3 linked regions of the Drosophila melanogaster genome follow. The protein of the gene in region 3 purifies or fractionates together with the protein of the main gene of each other region. This does not show direct contact. Each region holds a gene or a part of one and is shown on either strand. Other genes may lie near its edges.

Region 1 (4,560 bases), on a different chromosome or scaffold from region 3:
CTCCGGCCTGGTCCAAAGTGGACCGCGTCCTGGTCAGCCAGATATTCTTGGCGGGCCACCACAGGGCGTGATCGGACCAATCCTTGGGCAACTCCGGATCCACCAGGTTCAGCATTACGCCGCCAATGTGCTGGTCACCCTTCACGCGCAGCGTCTTCTCCACCTGCAGATCCGTGATGAGGATCCGCAGGTTCCACGTATTTTCGCCCACATGAATCATCTTTCGCTAAAAGTTCCGATGCGCGGGCGTCTCTTCTGTCCAAAGGCGAAACTATAACTGCGGGTATATTTGTATAGTGTATATATATGGCACAATCAGAGTCTAAATTTGCCCTCGAAACGATGACGTAATTCAACTTACGTTCAGCACCGTTTTTGCAACCAAGTTTTTGTTGTTCTTGTCGTTGTCGTTGGCTGGCGGGGAGCGGAGAGGGGGGGACTGCGACTGTGGCGGTGGCGAAACTATATAGGCCCTTATCTCGCCAGATGTTTGCACGGAAACAGAAACGCCAGCGAAACAGACCCAACAATCCAACAAGCCGAGTAATCCAGATCAAAATCGTTGGATGTAGAGATGGTGGTGGTATGTATGATGATAAAAGGGGGGGAGAGGCGGGGATGTACGGATCACTTGATTAACACACGCCCAAGGTTACGATTTTGATGGCTTGCTTGCTGCTGCTTGGGATGTTTTGTTTTCCCGATCTCTCTAGCAATCGCAATTCGCAGCGTTTTCCTCGCTCTTTTCCTCGCACATCAACACACCGACGAACACTAATGCACGCGCTCAAAAATGCGATGCAAATTTTCACAAAACAACACGTCGCGGGCGACGAGACAAAGCGAACGAGCCGAGATAGAGAGAAATTAATTTATAAATAAACCAGCAGCAGAGCAGTATGACCGTTTGTCTGCGCATATCGATGGTTCGCGCCAGCGAAATCGAACTTATCGGAACGGATGGTAAGAAGTATAGTTTAAATTTTGTTAAAAATTACATCGAAAATTAAGCAATACCATTTACCGTTAATTCTCGTGCTTAGTTTTTTGTTATTAAACTTACTGCAAGAGATATTAACCACCATACATTCTTATAAATTCTACTTTCACAATTGAACCGTGGATAGGGCATACCTAATACATTAGATTCGCATGATTTAATATAATTCGTATTCGACTTGAAACGAATTTGTGTATGGCAATCTATTGTATTGTATCAATTGTATTGTATCATAATATCGGACAGGCAAAGAACAATGAAGTCGTGGAGATTGGCACTATTGTTCCTCATTTATTTCTTCGAATTGGCTTATTCCATACGTACCTGTGGCCCAGGACGAGAAAGGAACTGTCATATTAATACTAAGCAAAAATATCAAAGGCCGAAACATTATTAACGTAACCACATGTTAACAGTAAGCACATATTTTAAAATGAGGGTACAAATATGAAAAGTGTATCGATATTTATTTTTTTCCAGAAATGGGGGTCACACCGGCCCAATGGTCATCTCTAAGTTATCGTAACGAAAAATATAGTTCTGTTGTTTTAATAATTTTAGTAGAAAGCAAATCTGCTATTATGAATATCAATTTAAATTAACGCATGTTCCAGTTAACTAATTTGTTATAAAGCAAAAGTACATGCATATATAAAAACAATACTGGTTTTTCTCCTCCTCTCTCGCTGTTTCGCTCTTTCCGCTCTTTTTCTCCACACCGCATTCGTAAACAAAGACAATGAAAGCTCCAGTTGAACGGCTAAAGAGGCCTCAAAGCCCCCAGATTGTTTTTCGCCGTTGAGCCGAGCGCACGTATTCGAAAAAACAACTAATAGTGTATAATAGTGCAGTATTGTGTAAAACACGCGCGTCTCTGCTTTCTCGCTCTGGCACCCACCCATACACTTTCGCGTGCCCATACACACATACCTGTAAGAGAGCGAGATACGAAAAACGGTGCATGGAAAATAGGAAAATCGGAACTGAAAAAGTCGGAATTTCGTTTAATCAAGTTAGCTGCGCGTACTACTGTCAGTTTCGAATTGAAAGTGCCGGCCCAGGGTTTTTCAAATAGTCATATCGTTAAGAAATTCGAAATAAGACACACACCCACAAGTTCTCGGACAAAAACATCTCGGCACGAAAAAATCGATGCAGCAATGTAAAAATTTGACAAACTCCCGTACCACAGAATGAAAGCAACAATTGAGTTACACACATATACATAGTGTAGTTAAGCGGTGTGTTACGTTCATATACATACTCGTAACAATAATAAAAAAAAGCGCGGCGCAACAACCCGAGCGGCTTATTCATCCATGCAGGAGATTCGAGATACAAAACATCAGATACAATAGCAAAACAGCAGTCTAGCATCGAAATTTTAGTCAGTTGAAAAAAACCGAAAAGCACAAGAAATTTTCATTTTGTTCGGTCCCTTAACGATAAATCCTAACGTTTTTGGCAATTAACGAATATTGTAGCTGTGGAAAGGAGCCACACTACAGCAAATACACCAACATTAAGCGGTTGATAAACCCGAACTCAGAGCAACTTGAAGACTGGAAGACATACGTAATTACAACAAATTGCAGCAACAACAAAGCAACGCCTACGACACGCCAGTGATTACAACAATAATAGCAGCAAAAGCAAAAACGAAATTATTTACCACAACAAGGCATAACCTGTTGTAGCTATTTCACTGTACTGCATTGTTGCTCACCTCTCGGCATCTAAAATTGGGCATTCACAAGCGGCTTATAGTAAATACGCGTTTAACCATCGGCTGTGAATACACAATCATTATATAGCCGGAATCTGCAAGTGGCACACCTGTGGCCACGGGTCAGTTGAACACCAGTTGGAGCAACAGCATCGCCATCATCATCACCATCACCATCACAGCCACAAGTACACACAATGTCGAGACTCACCGAGGAAATGGTGATAGCGCGGGCCAAGCAATCCGATTTGTCCCTGATCAAAAAGCTAAATTGCTGGTAAGTAGACAGCCCAAATAACTAGAAATATTTATAGAATATATCATCATATCATACTGAATAACGAAAGGAATGCTTGCATTAGTGCAATAACTAGATTGTTTGTAAATTTTTAGTCAGCGGCATATTAATCATGCTTTAGCAAAGTTAGGACGACTAATTGTTTATTATTGTTCAGACTCAACCCACTGTTAATTTCATCGATTTTCGATCTAATTTTCGCCTGTGCATTGATCTATTGCTAATCGTGCTGGGGCAGGTGCAGCCACTATAGTGAAAGCTTCGATCTGTGTTGAATGGGTCTGCGATCTGGTGTCTGGGGTTTGGGGGATCTGCCCACTTTGCTGCTCACTTCGGTCGCTCCGGCTGCTTTCACTCGACCCAATTCCAGGGGCAATCTTCTAACCAGTTTAGAAGTGTCCACTTTGGAGCGAGTCACGATTTCCTGGACTGGAAAAACACGCGCCCCTCGAGAAAAACGGTTGGAAAAGCGTGAAAAGCAGTTGAACTACTTTCCGTGATGGGCCCCCAACTCTTGACCCATCTGCGATAAGCGTGTTGCCTGCTAAGAGGGCTCCACTGTACATTATTTATCTTTATTAAAATGCCATCTATTCTGTGCTTATTTCAGGGGCAGTGATCTCAGCGATGTGTCCATCATCAAGCGAATGCGTGGAGTGGAAGTTCTGGCTCTTAGGTAAGTCACAAGTCGTGAAATATTTCTTCTATAAGGATCATTTTGATTTCCTGACTCGGTGCCTTTTGATTGATACAAAGTGTGCGGCTCGCCGCCGAGAGAATGCGGTAGAGATATATATATTAAAAAGCTAGCGAGATATTTGCTTTCCAGTGATGTCATCGCCCCATCATTAGGCAAGCTCAAATACGAAAGATACTTTGGCACGCTCAAGCGCGTAATTAATGCAAAAAGCTGGGGACGCAGAAAACTACAGAAAATAAGCTAAAAGTCGTGGGAGCTCCCAAATTGGCAATAGCAACTGGCCGCGTACTTTTCCAAGTCGCGTAGGCCACACTGCGTAGTGGGCAGATACTATAGTTATGACTCGTATCTGCTAGATACTTTTGTATCTCGCTGTGCCTTGTACCTCATCTGGTACTGCTGGATACTTGTTGTACTTGCATGTCGCTCGATAAGTTTGCATGTGCTGCTGCTGCTGCTGCTGCTTTTGCTGATTTCGCCACTTTTGCCATAAAAGGCGACAATCATTTTGACTGCCAAGGTCGCCGAAATCCATTTCACCCCCCCAAAAACTTCTGTCATCTGTTGGCAATGTGCTGAAAACTCTCGACTCTTGCGATTCGTTTAATTATGCATAAAACAGATATAGATGGAGGTGCATATATACAAGAGTTCGTGGCCTTATAGGGAGATTTGGCATTGAACTTAGGGGAAAAGAACCGTGAGAATAACAGGAAATAATAATTTAGGTATGGGCGAATCAGCTATTTCAGATGAAGCGAATAATATGTCGACCCAGTGAACAGGAAGCTATAATTATGGTATTGAAGTTGTAGATATCGCACCTTAAACAGAAA
Region 2 (7,690 bases), on a different chromosome or scaffold from region 3:
GGACTCGTACTCGTACATTCCGGATCCCTTGGCCCAGCGACCCTGTGGATGTAGGATTATCAGTTGGGCATATTCCACCTTGGTAAGTATCCAATACTCACGCCTGAGGCAGATCCAGCATGCATCTCCTCGCGCTTCATGACGATGGTGTCGTGTCCGGGTGGATAGTACACCTCTTTTCCCGCCTTGTTCACCGATGGCACATGCTGTTGGTTGGGCGAGGCAACCGCCGTCTCGATTTCACGCTTGCGCACTGGAGTCTCAATGTCCACGCGATCCACATGGTCGGTGGTCTAAGATATAGAGTAGATACGGAGTCAAATCAAAGATCATAAAAATCACTGCCAAGTATAAGTAATTATGATACCATTAAAATGATAAATGTGTTATCTTTATCTAACTGAGGTATTATGAGTTCATACGAAAGTATTCTCTAACTACCAGTTTTTTGGCATTGCGATAACGACTTTCGTTCTAATCGGTTTCACCAAGTTATTAGTGGCTTAATTACTGACTTGCAAACAAGAAGCTATTACTGATTAGTTTTTAAACAAACAGAAATTGGAAAGTAACTTCAGTATACTTCAAATACTTACAGTTCCGAATGACTGCATCAGATCGTCCACTCGCTGGGGAGGATTGCTATTCACTGGATACTCCACGCCATCCACGGGGAATGGAGATGGCGAGCCGTAGTCCGGGCCACGTCGGTTGTTTGTGTTGGTGGTCGAGGAGTATTTGTAGCTGTAAGTGGTCGAATTCGGTGGATAACCATTTCCATTTGGTGGCTGCTGTGGATACGCGTTGTTGGGCGGCAGCTGTTTCAGCGGAGCGGACTGAGGTAGACCCGGCTCGTAAGGTCCACCGTTCGGCGGTCCGTGGATGCTATTGACCGTGTTCGAGGTCTCCGTCTCCTTGTAGTAGTAGCGATTCACTCCCGGCTGTAGTGGTGGACTGTGTGGTCCTCCGTAGTTGGGACTGTGAGCCGGACTGCGCGGCGGATAGCGCTGCTGTGGTGGCAGCTCGTTGACTGTGTTGACGTGATCCGTCTTGTGGATGTTGTAGATGACCGTACGATTGCCCGGTGGAGTTCCCGCCGGACCCGATCCCAAAGGTAGTTGACGGGGCTGTGGGCTCACGCCGCGAGTGGTGGTCTCCTTGTGCTCTCTGATCTCGTACGACTGGTTGCTAACCACCGGACGATCGCTGTTCCGGTTCAACGTGGAGTAGCTCTCAGTGTTGTAAACCACCGTCTGTGGCACATGGCTAGGCTGTGGGTGCGGAACGGGCGACAGCTGCGAGAAGTTCTGACTGGAGTTGTGGCTTTCGTGGTGCTTGTAGGTGCTGCTCAGCGTATTCGAGTTGTTCAGCGTGTGGGTGCGGTTAATGGTGCTGGTGTTGCTGCCGGGACCAGTGGCCGGGATCTCATAGGTGTAGGTCCTCACCGTGGTGGTCACCTTGGTGCCTGGGGCAGGCAGGATGCCATCGCCCAGAGCGATGTCCTGCAGCTCCTTGTCAATGGTGGTGCCGCTGGTCAAAGTCTGATGTGTGCTGCTCGTTGCAGGCAGCAGCTCCACATTGTTGTTAATGGTGCGATTGCTTTCGTAGATCTTCGACTTGCTCTCGTAGTGTCCACCACTGGGGGAGTGGGCTGAAATCGTATAAGATTTTAGTTTAAGTGGTGCCACTGGATATGCTCTTTAACTCTTACCCAGAGTATAGGGCTTGTCCTTGGTCTGGAACTCGTCCCTCTTCAAGCTGGAGTACTTGGCCGTGGACTGCAGGGTGCTGTAGTCGGTGGGACTGAAGGTCTCCACATCATCAATAAATGGCTGCTGGCCACCGGTGCCCGAGTGCTTGCTGGTCTTGACCACTCGCGTAGTCCTCGTTACGGTGCCCGAGGGATCAGTGCGTTCACTACACCAAAACATCAAAACATTAATCCTTGTAAAGTTACTACAATTTGAGATCGTGTGCAAACTTACAGTGTCCTATAAGTGGTTCCATTGCTGGGCAGCAGATCGCGTTCCCTGTTGGTAATCTGTCGTTCCTGCTTCAGATCCTCCAACAAGGCATCCAATTGATCTATGTTCTGGTCGGGGGATTTGCCCTGATACGAGACATTGTTGTCGCCAGAACTCGAGTATTGATAGGATGACTTCTTATAGGCGTAGTTCTTGTCGTTCTGAGGAATTAATGGTGACGTATGAGTGATTTACTAACCGATGTGGACCATAAATCAAGGCTTACCCTGCCCCATTTCGAGGGCTTGTCCCGCAACGAGGATGAGTAATTTTCCGAACTGCTCGAGTACTGCATTTCCAATTAGTTTTTTAGCTGAAACGGAAACCAGTATCATTCATAAATTATTCAAATTCTACGTGTGAGTAAATCAAACGACTCGTGGGTGTCTGACACGTAATCACGGATTCCGACCCCGAATAGCAGGTTGATTTCGCGTCAAGGCGGTTCGCCAGAATCCCAAGCATTTTTCCCCACCCACGCCAATGTCGATTTTCGAACATGGCCGCATTCGCCACTCTGAAGTGAGAACTTTTGGCGCATTAATGGAAGCTTAAGTCATCTGAAGTGGGCATCACTTGAGCACACAAAGTATGGAATGCCAATTCACAATGGATGCGATGAACAGACGGAGCCTGTCATGCGAAGATGAAATGCTCTAGAAAGCGGCGGAGATGGTTGTTAAGGGCCAGTCCTTACAGAACTTAAGTCTACTTGGTAAAGCTGGGCTGTCCATCAACCACTAGCTACCAACTTGAAAAATATTTAAACTATAGTCTTGATTTGAGAATTCCGTGGTTTTAACCTATATTAAAATATACATATCAGATTAGATTGTTATGATAATATCGTTATCTGACAAACGAAACCGTTTATTATCATGAAAATCCATATTTTCCATCATAATTAATCTTGTTATATAAATGCTTATATTGGCTATATAAAAATATAGTTTTATTATATGGAGTATTAATCGCTATCAGTGAGTTTTTCTGTAGTTTAAACTATAATATTAGGTGGATGTTATGGCTATAAATTTCCATGTTCATATTTACAATAATCGATACAAATTTATTTGTCAGTTCACAAGCTTTTAATTTGAACAATAAATTTACACAACCTTGAAGTTTCAAGGCAAAGTATTAATAATAAATGTGTTATCTTTTAATAGCATATACCCATTTTGAGGACCTTAAAATAATAATACCCTTTGGCAGAGAAACCAAAAATGCTGGCATTGATTTTCAGAACTGACAAACAGGCAAAAAAACCAAAAAACAGACAGAGGCACAAAGTCGAAATTTCAATGTCAAACTGGTTTTCACTTTCGGCAACGTGTCCTTAAACTCCTTTTTAGTCTGTATATATAGATACATGTATGAATGCAGTTTTTTTCTCGATTTTCAGAGATAACCTTGGAGTGAGAGATAGTCGGAGATGATGCAAAAATCCGAGAAGGATGACCGACTACCGACTACCGACGATGATGTCATAAGACGACGCTTTGTGACAGCAACTGCATTAAACGTCAACGCAAATTGGAGCTTAAGTAATCAAATCAAGGCGAGCTAAATAAATCACCTTTGAATGGAAATGGATGAAGGGGGGGGGGGTGTATGGGGGTCGAGGGATGCCACATGCCATATGGTCAACGGAATACAGCTAATAAAGAAATAAAGCTACATAAAACACAAATAATAATGCCTCACGTCAGACAAACACACACATAAAATAGCCCAATAGAATATAGATAAAAGGCCAAATCTAATTGATGCCGCCGCCACCTCCAACGAAACCTCCCCCCCACTTCCCCCACAACCCGCCCACTACTATATACGCACGCTATATAGCTCGGTTCCCCCGATCTCAGCACGTTTTTAGCAGTTCTCTGGGCCTCCGATTGGCGACGAAAACAAAAACAAACACAAATGACCGGAGAGCGGAGAGCATGGTTTGTTTTTGCATATGTATACACAGGCAGCTCAGAAATGATCTCATATACTGGGGGGTTTGGAGCTCTGGGGAGCAAAAACATGTTGCTGTCTGTCTGGCGATCGGAATTAACCCGTTGAGGCATTACACGCCATTTTAGCATGCTGGGTTAGTTTTGCAGTTTTATGAATGAAAATCTTTGCAATTATGAATTTTGCTCAGTTTAAGCAAAGTTTATTTTATAAAGATAACGCCCGCTTTCCAAGTATTCTACTTAAGGCCAACTTAATATTAGCCAACTATCTTTATAAGGCTCGAGAAAGTTTGCCAGCGATGAGAAACTTAACTTAATTGTGTTTCTAACAAGGAACAAACTAATCAATTACATTTTTCGAAAAATGTATTCTGATATTTCCATTTTATTAAGATAAACCATTATAAGGTTCAATGCATAAAGTACAAAAAATCTACAAATAACTTTACTTATCTCACGCAAATTCTTCTCAAACGTAAACATTTATCTTAAAAGGTGGGATGTTTGTTATGAATCACAGATTGAAATATGGAAAAATAGCAATTTTGAAAATAGGTGTTTCAACAGAAAATTCTGAGAACTTTATGGCATTGTGTTGATTTAACGCATTACAAATGAGTTGTTTTTGAGATTATAAATCTAAATTAAAATGGTTAAAAAATTTGTTTGGTATGCCGGTTAAATCATCACTTCAAAATAGATATGCAAAGGAAAAAATGTTGAAAAGACGCGATTTTCCAAAAGAATTGGAGAAGATGCCTTCGCTTTGGGTTAAGCCAATCAAGTGGGCGTGGCTGCGCAAAGGGGAAGCGAGAGTGCTGATCACAGATCACCAAATGCCATATAGCATACGTAGGCAATAGCAAACAAACTCGTAAAATAAACAAATATCGAGCTAACAACAAGTTTGAAATGGCCAAAATAAAAAGCGAAGGTGTTGTCGTCGTCGCTGGCGTTCTGTTGTTGAAATTTCCGAAAATCAAATATCAAAACGTAGGCGAAATCTAACGTCTATATATGCGCCAGGCATGTATCATTATCTATATGTAGATATGTTTATGTTCGTTCTACCAGCGGTGCGAGTGTGTTGCGTATCTGTGTGTCGAGTTGCCAATTTGTGGCACCCACACACAAGGCGAACACCGAAAACAATACACGAGTTCAAGTCAGGCGGACATAAACAAGCTGTAGACGCCGTTTGAACTTGGCTAAATTAAACGAAAGTTTAGTGAGCGTACGATTCGGATACAGATGCAAAGATACACAGATACATTTACTGGGCGAGCAAAGTCTTTTCGACTTTTCGACTTTTCGCTTTTTGCCGAGCCATTTTATTTCGTATTTTTTTTTTTTTTTCTCATTTTCGTCGGTTGGTATATGAAAACAAATAATTCTATTTTTAGTTCACTGCCACTGTTCTTTCAATTTGAATACTGCGCCGTTCCGTCGGGAAATAAATCGAGTGTACGTACGAGTGCCCACCGTACATGAATCATCTGGCCACGAAGAGATACACAAGGAATAGCGATCCGCCAGATACATCGCTACATGGTCGAGGAGGATGCGTTTTCGAATTTCACTTCAAAAAGCGAGTACTTCCACGTTCATGTAAGGCAGCGACTACAGCAACTGCCACTGCCACTGCGACCACGACCACGACACGTAGGGAAAACTAGTTTCTAACTGCGGTTTTTGAGCTCGTCTTCCAAACACCAAACACCGAACAGCAAAGAGCCCCAACAGCCCACACACTATCTACATATGTATCTTTCTATCTATCGACGTTTGTATCGCTATGTGGCTCTGTATGTACAAATACTTGCAGCACTCACTGTGCACTTTTCCAAAACTCCAAAAACGCAACGTACGTCCAAGTACAGTTCAATTGGGGAGGGAAAATCTCTTCGTTGTGCGGGAAATTCGTTGGTCAGTGTATTAGTGTTCGATCGCTCCCAGCACAAAAGTGTAACGGTGCGCGCAGTGTAAGTTTCTCGTTGTGTTTACGATTCGGATGCGGATCTTAACGCGTCGCTAGCTCGGGCGGTACTGAGGCCCACGATCCGCACTTGCCACCAGCGATCCCGATCCCCACCAGTGCGATCCGATCCCATCCGATGGCAACTTGCCGGAGACCTGTTCGCACGAGAGCATCTCTCGCTCGGTTTTGGTTTTTAGAGCTTGCAAAGCTTTTCGCTCTCCGCAACTAATGCCGATTGATCGAACAATAGAGGTTAGGAGGTTAGGGTATCTGATAACCCATGCTAAATTCTCCTCAACAAATCAACGTCCTTTAAATGTCTCTTTAAATGTCCATGTTTCCGAAATTCACTCTCAAACTTATCATAACCAATTAATTTTCAAATGAAGTTCAGTTCAAAATGATCATATTTTTAGTAAGAATATTCCTGTACTCAAACATGTTTTAAACTATCTGAAGGTACTATCAGCACACGTATCTAAATGAGATACATGACACTTCTTTTTGCTGGCTTGGTACTTGACAATTACTTTCCTGATAACCCGCTCCCAAGTTTGAACTGCGAAACAAAGCTTAACGATTAAAATTCACTTAAACCTCCAACAATTTGACTTTCAAAACGCGTGCTGATTTCATAAGCATGCGACTGTAAACTAAAATCAGCAAGCAAATTTAAAATTTACACCAGCTGAGTTTTTAGCCTCAAAGCGCAGGTGCACTAACTAAACAAAAATAAATGTGACTTCTACAACTTATTTAGTGGGTTAAATAAGTCGATTAAATTCTCAACACACAACTGTTCAAAATGTATGCGATTCCGAAGATGCTCCACTTTTTGCCAAACTGTGAGCTGTAATTTAATAACAAAGTTGACTGGAAAAAGCTCATTCAGATGCCCCGCATTCCAATTACTCGATACAAAAGATTCAAGTGTTTTCATTTTATTCACTCGTATTGCAGTAGAGACGTCCAAGATTATAATGATCAGTGAATCTGTAGTTGATAAGCTTTTTTATAAAAAACAAAGACCGATCATGCCGGTTACAACTGAATGTAGCAGCCGTTACGTTAATATTAAGATACTTAAGGTAGACAATAGCAGATGGTCAGGCAATGGAGACCTAGTCCTTGGCGGGCACCTCAATGACGCGGGGCTTGTCGATGATGCGTGCGGTCTTATTGCCCTTCTCAACGATGCCGATGATCCAGGCCTGGTAGCCCTCCTGCTTCTCGATGTCCTTGCAATAAGCAGCGGCCTGCTCTCGCGGCAGGCAGATCAGTAATCCTCCCGAGGTCTCCGCCGAGTGGCCCTGCAGCAGCTGGAACATGTTGCCGCAGGCTTTGGCCACTGCAGCCATCTTGGCGATCACCGGCAGATTGTGGATAACAAAGGAGACATCCTTTTTCTGATGTGCAGCCAGGGTTTGAGCGTGGCCTAGTAGTCCGAATCCAGTAATATCGGTGGCTCCGTGGGCATTGTACTTGTGCATGAGGCGAGCGGCTACGCGGTTGAGGCGAGCCATAGAGTTCATCGCCCGGTGGTAGGCCTTGCGTACATCTTCTTCGGACACCACCAGCTTAATGCGGTTCCAGCGCTCCGGCTGGTCAATCCACTGGTGGGCATTCACGGCCACTTGGGTGCCCAGTGGCTTGGTTAGCACCAGTACATCCCCTACCACGGCATTATCTGGCACAATATACTCATTTGGCTGGCAAATGGTCGA
Region 3 (4,800 bases):
ACCTCGAAATGTAAGTTATTTGTAAGTTACAAAATACTTCTTACATAGCAGTAAGGATACATTGTTCGGTTTTCTTTGTATATTAACAGCATACACAGTACAGGATATTATAGAATGTAACTTTCACGTTATCTACCAATTATTTCTTACCTCGTAATGTAAGTTATTTGCAGTAAGAATACATTTTTCGGTTTCCTCTGTATATTACATCAAAATATATTACATACTGAAAAGTGTACTTAAATGAATTATTTCTAATTCTTATTCCTACCTATTTATTATTGTCTGTAAAGTTAGCTCTTGCAATATTTACTATAACAGCACAATTTAGAAAGTAAGGATAATGTATAACCAGAAGCTAAATTTATAGTTGCACTGAAGAATGTATTGTTAAAAATTATATTATTTAATACTGTACTTTACAGTAATATTTATACTGTAACATACAAGTTTTTAGAATATTTCGCGCTGTAATGTAAGATGTAAAGTGAGAGGAGGGTCAAAGGTATCTTAAGAGTACAAATAAATTGAGTACTGTATGGACATTTAAATAAGTTTATTTTTTTTGGTTTTTGGTCTACAATGAATCCAATCAAGTATTGCCAATTGAAACATCTTAGTGATAAGTTTTTCAAAATTAAAATGCTCTATTTGACAAAACTTTGGTTGACGAATCCCGCATTCCGGGCGTTTGCCGTGAGCACGGGCGTAGGACTAGGTATACTATACACGGGATAAAGTGGAGCAAACTCATTGCTCCCGAAGGCATGTAGTTCCTCTTCGTTGATATTGCCCCGCTGAGTGTGACGGGACTCCTCATAATTGGGGAGCGCTGTAAAGTAGAAGAATAACGTGGTTTAGTAAACATAACTATTATAAATAAAATATAAAGTAAGTTATACTACCCATGCAAGCTTTTCTTATCGTTTAAATTTAAAAATATTTGTTAATCTGGAAATAAGTTTCGCACCTTTTCTTCTACTCAAAGTGACTATATAAGCCGTAATACATTATTTATTATTTTCTTTTGAACTTTTGTTAGCCATTTTATTATTACCTAGTAATGGCACTTGAAGCTTGCGTTTGGCATATGTTTTGAAAGTATAGGCGATGTCTACAAAAACTTCGTGCTCAGTTCGTTAAAGAATTTGATAAGATTGCAGTCAATCATTACAAGTTCATTGGCACGTAGACTGCAAAATCATGATCTCACCTGAATCAGCAGCACTGGATGCCAGGTCGCTGGGCAAGCTCTCAAGTGCGGTAACCATGGGTAGCTCGTCGGGAGGATTCCTTCTGGAATCCGGTCCTTCGTAGTGGGCGCTCCGCCGGGGAGGTTGTTGAACCACAATGCCCGAAACCGCCAGAGGAATGGTGCCAACGGTAACCGGCATGACCATCAGCTGTTGTTCGCGTAGACTCTTAACCAACGCCTCAACCTCCAGTTGGTAGGCGATCTGGATGAGGTTGCTCAACTCCACGCAGGTGGGCGGCGTTGAGGGTACGGGCAAATCGATGGTCTGGGATCGGGTGCACTGCTTCAGCACCGATTCCCCCTTAGCTCGCGATATTATTAATCGCTCCACTCGAGAGTGTTCAGGACTGACGCTGTAGTATCTCACCAGCATTACCAGAGAGAGTCGGATTTCGGAGACGGCTACGGCAGTGTTGTTGACTACCACAATGGTCACGGGAATCTTCTGGCCAGGAACGTAGCCTGCTTGTGGAAGGTGCAGCTCCAGTTTTAAAGGATCCGTCTTGCATGGACCACAGCAAAAGGTGCGGTAACCCTCGCTGTGGGCAGCGGACTGTAATGGATGAATCGATACGATATAATTAACCTAAATATAATTTTTGTATCACTATAACACCGAATCATTTGAATTATCATTATCTTAGTATGATTACTTTGAATCCACAAGTAAAATATAACTATAGTTCATTAAAAGTACCTAAAATGTCTGTACGTCTTCAACTTAAAAAAAGTCATTTTAAGTGTATTATGAAGTATTTTATATTTCACAAAATACATCATTGCTAGTTGCATACTAACCTTTAGCTGGGGAGTGTCAAAGTTGAGATCCAGCATCTTGAGAACCGTGAAGCCCTTTGTGTAGGCCTGATCGAACTTCCACGGTCTGATCAGCAGGACTTTCACTATATAGCGGATGCATCCATGGCGACCCTCAAAGGACGAGGGGCATTGATAGGGCAGCTGGCAGGTGAAGTTGTAGCTGTGAACCCCAGCCTCAATAGTGAGTCTGTGAGTGTTGTTGTGAGTGTTGTCTTTTTTGGGAGATAAAATTGTTTATAAAAGCAAACATCTTTGAGGTTTCTACTCACTTTGCTCGGAACCCACGAGATAAGTATTTGATGATAGATAATCCTCCCGGCCCACGTAGAGTTTTGTCGAGCCCAGACTCTTTTCGCTCCACTTGGTTATAGAATATCCGACTACCTTGAGCAGCACAGCTGCGATTTAAGAGAAAATAAAGAAAAGAGTTAGGATATAGTGTTATCATGGTGTCTATATAATCTGTTAATAAAGTTGGGAGTGCACAATATAGTTAAGCCAATTCTAATCTCAACTGAACTGTTATAAATACTTGAGGAGAATTTAAATATTGTCAGTAAAATCAAAATATTCCTTATATAATTCAAAATAAATTTTGCGATGGGCCTAACCTTCCTCCTAATCACGTTATTAAAATAATACCAAAGCAAAGCCACTTCAAAGTGTTATCAATCAACCGAACACATTCCGCGTCTAAGAATGTCCGCTAAATTCAGTGTCGTCATAAAAATATACAATTTCTACATACACACACATCGTTATCGAGCAAATATTTATAATACTGCCGCTAGGAAGAGCTAACTTCAAGAAATTAGCCGAACTTCTGGGATTTGTTTTCAATGTAGTTTATTAAACGTTTACTATAATTACCTTGAACCTCCTTGGACCTGTCACATTTAAGGGTCGCGCATCCTTTTACCAGCTGACCGGCGTAGAAAGTACCATGTTTATTATTATCGAAGCTGATCTCACACGTAACAACCATTTTTCCCAAGATTAAATGTCCGAGCGCGAAAAAGCTAAAACCGATGTTATGGGGCAACTCACTGCGACTAATTTAAGTACAAAACTTCTGGACTGCTTGCGGTGCGACCGCGTCGTTAGATAAGCGATAAGAACCATAACTTGGACCCGATGTCGGATTCGGATTTCACCGGGAACGATACGGAATCGTAGTCCAAACTGTATAAGAGTCGATAATAAGTTCCCTTGCGAACTACTCGGACGTTCACTTGGGGTTTTCGGTCTGTTATCAGAGTTGGTTGTCGAGACCTTGGCACTGGGGAAGTTATTGCCAGCATTCATCGAGGGGTTTTCAAGAGGAAAGAAAAGCGTCGTGTTTGAAAATCTTAGACTACATATGGTAATATATATATAATTTCGAATAATTTCAAAAATCGCTCCACCCTGTACCAGTCTTGGAATTGTGATAAAATGTTTATTATAAAGTGTTAGGTGGAACTTTTGCCTTGTGTGCAAATGCTTTATCGCCCTTACATTTCTAGTATAGTATTTATTTTCGTTCTCATAGCCACGTTCCCTTGTCTTTGTCCACATCCATGGCCGGATTGACAAAGGCCCTCTCTGCCATATAATTCTGCGTATAATCCGTCGGCGGCGGAGCTGAGGGACTGGGTATGTCGAAGACCGGATAGAGTGGCTTATAAGCACCGCCATCCAAACTGAGAGTATTGGGCGGTACTGGTTCCGGGTCGTCTAAGTCGTCTGACCTCGTTGCAGCCGTGCTGCGCATGTGAACAGCCTCCTGATAGTTGGGCGGAGCTAAAAACACCAACAAAAAACATAAATTGATACTGTAATTAGTTTATGGATTCTAGTAAACTCACGAATGGATGCGTCGACAGACCATGGACTTGAAGAGTTTGGAGCAGTGGCTACTTCTTCAACAGCCAGCTCATTAACATTCAGCTGGGGGACGAAACCCCGAGGCTGGATTGGTACGTGTTGTGCAAGAGGGACACTGCCAATGGTCAGCGGAATGGTGACAACCTCGTTGTTGTGGCAACCCTTCACCCTGGCCTCCACCTCCACTTGGTAGGCGATCTGGATGATGCCGCACAGGTTGAAGCAGGTGGGCGGAGTGGCCGGGACTCTGATCTCATAGCTAAATAGCTTCTTGCAGTTCCTTTGCACAGCGTCCCCCTTGAAGGTGTTTACCACCAACCTCTCGGACGTGGTATTGGGCATCGAAGGTGGCTTACTGTGGTATGTCACCAGCATCACAAAACTAATGAGGAGCTGCTCCACCGGAATGTGGCTATCGTTTGTGACCAGCACGCTAAGGGGAACATTCTGGCCAGGTACAAATCCTGTCTGTGGAACGGTCAGTTGGAGGGCCAACGGATCTGATCGGCAAGGCCAGCAGCAGTAGGTCTTCGAGGTTTCACTGTGGGCGGGTACCTACATAACATATTCAATTAGCTTAGGTTCTAACAGATATGTATTCGTGTTTGATTTTGATTCGTACCCTTAGCAGTGGACTATCGAAGTTCAAGTCCATCACTTTTAGCACCGTAAAGCATCGGGTATAGCTCTGATCGAATTTCCAGGGCCTGACGAGGGTTACGGTTGCCATGTACCGCACCCTGCCGTGTGATCCCTCGAAGGACGAAGGACATTCGGTGGGAATCAGGCACACGAAGTTGTAAGTGTGAATTCCCGCTTCAATGGATACTTGGCCTGCAGATATGATTAGCAATTAGATG

The links. The genes of interacting proteins can lie anywhere in the genome.
Region 1: the proteins of CG18747 (region 3) and CG14995 purify together in Drosophila melanogaster (affinity purification with mass spectrometry, with the first as the bait; one large-scale study listed by BioGRID). This does not show direct contact.
Region 2: the proteins of CG18747 (region 3) and CG8547 purify together in Drosophila melanogaster (affinity purification with mass spectrometry, with the first as the bait; one large-scale study listed by BioGRID). This does not show direct contact.

The regions. Positions count from the first base shown.
Region 1 is NT_037436.4:4,099,920-4,104,479, reverse strand, and holds the start of CG14995 (uncharacterized protein), read left to right. Parts: upstream 1-1,519; 5' UTR 1,520-2,923; coding exon 2,924-3,003; intron 3,004-3,265; exon of another isoform or gene 3,266-3,299; coding exon of another isoform or gene 3,300-3,484; intron 3,485-3,634; coding exon 3,635-3,700; intron 3,701-4,560. Other genes in the region: Fit1 (fermitin 1), read right to left, coding at 1-220.
Region 2 is NT_033778.4:14,261,879-14,269,568, forward strand, and holds the start of CG8547 (uncharacterized protein), read right to left. Parts: upstream 6,042-7,690; 5' UTR 5,821-6,041; intron 5,620-5,820; exon of another isoform or gene 5,461-5,619; intron 2,338-5,460; 5' UTR 2,320-2,337; coding exon 2,251-2,319; intron 2,186-2,250; coding exon 1,986-2,185; intron 1,918-1,985; coding exon 1,712-1,917; intron 1,652-1,711; coding exon 597-1,651; intron 294-596; coding exon 102-293; intron 43-101; coding exon 1-42. Other genes in the region: Sps1 (selenophosphate synthetase 1), read right to left, coding at 7,088-7,690.
Region 3 is NT_033777.3:7,780,343-7,785,142, forward strand, and holds CG18747 (uncharacterized protein), read right to left. Parts: upstream 3,105-4,800; 5' UTR 3,060-3,104; coding exon 2,945-3,059; intron 2,473-2,944; coding exon 2,344-2,472; intron 2,287-2,343; coding exon 2,054-2,286; intron 1,809-2,053; coding exon 1,214-1,808; intron 833-1,213; coding exon 648-832; 3' UTR 542-647; downstream 1-541. Other genes in the region: CG18745 (uncharacterized protein), read right to left, coding at 3,600-3,856, 3,922-4,495, 4,563-4,774.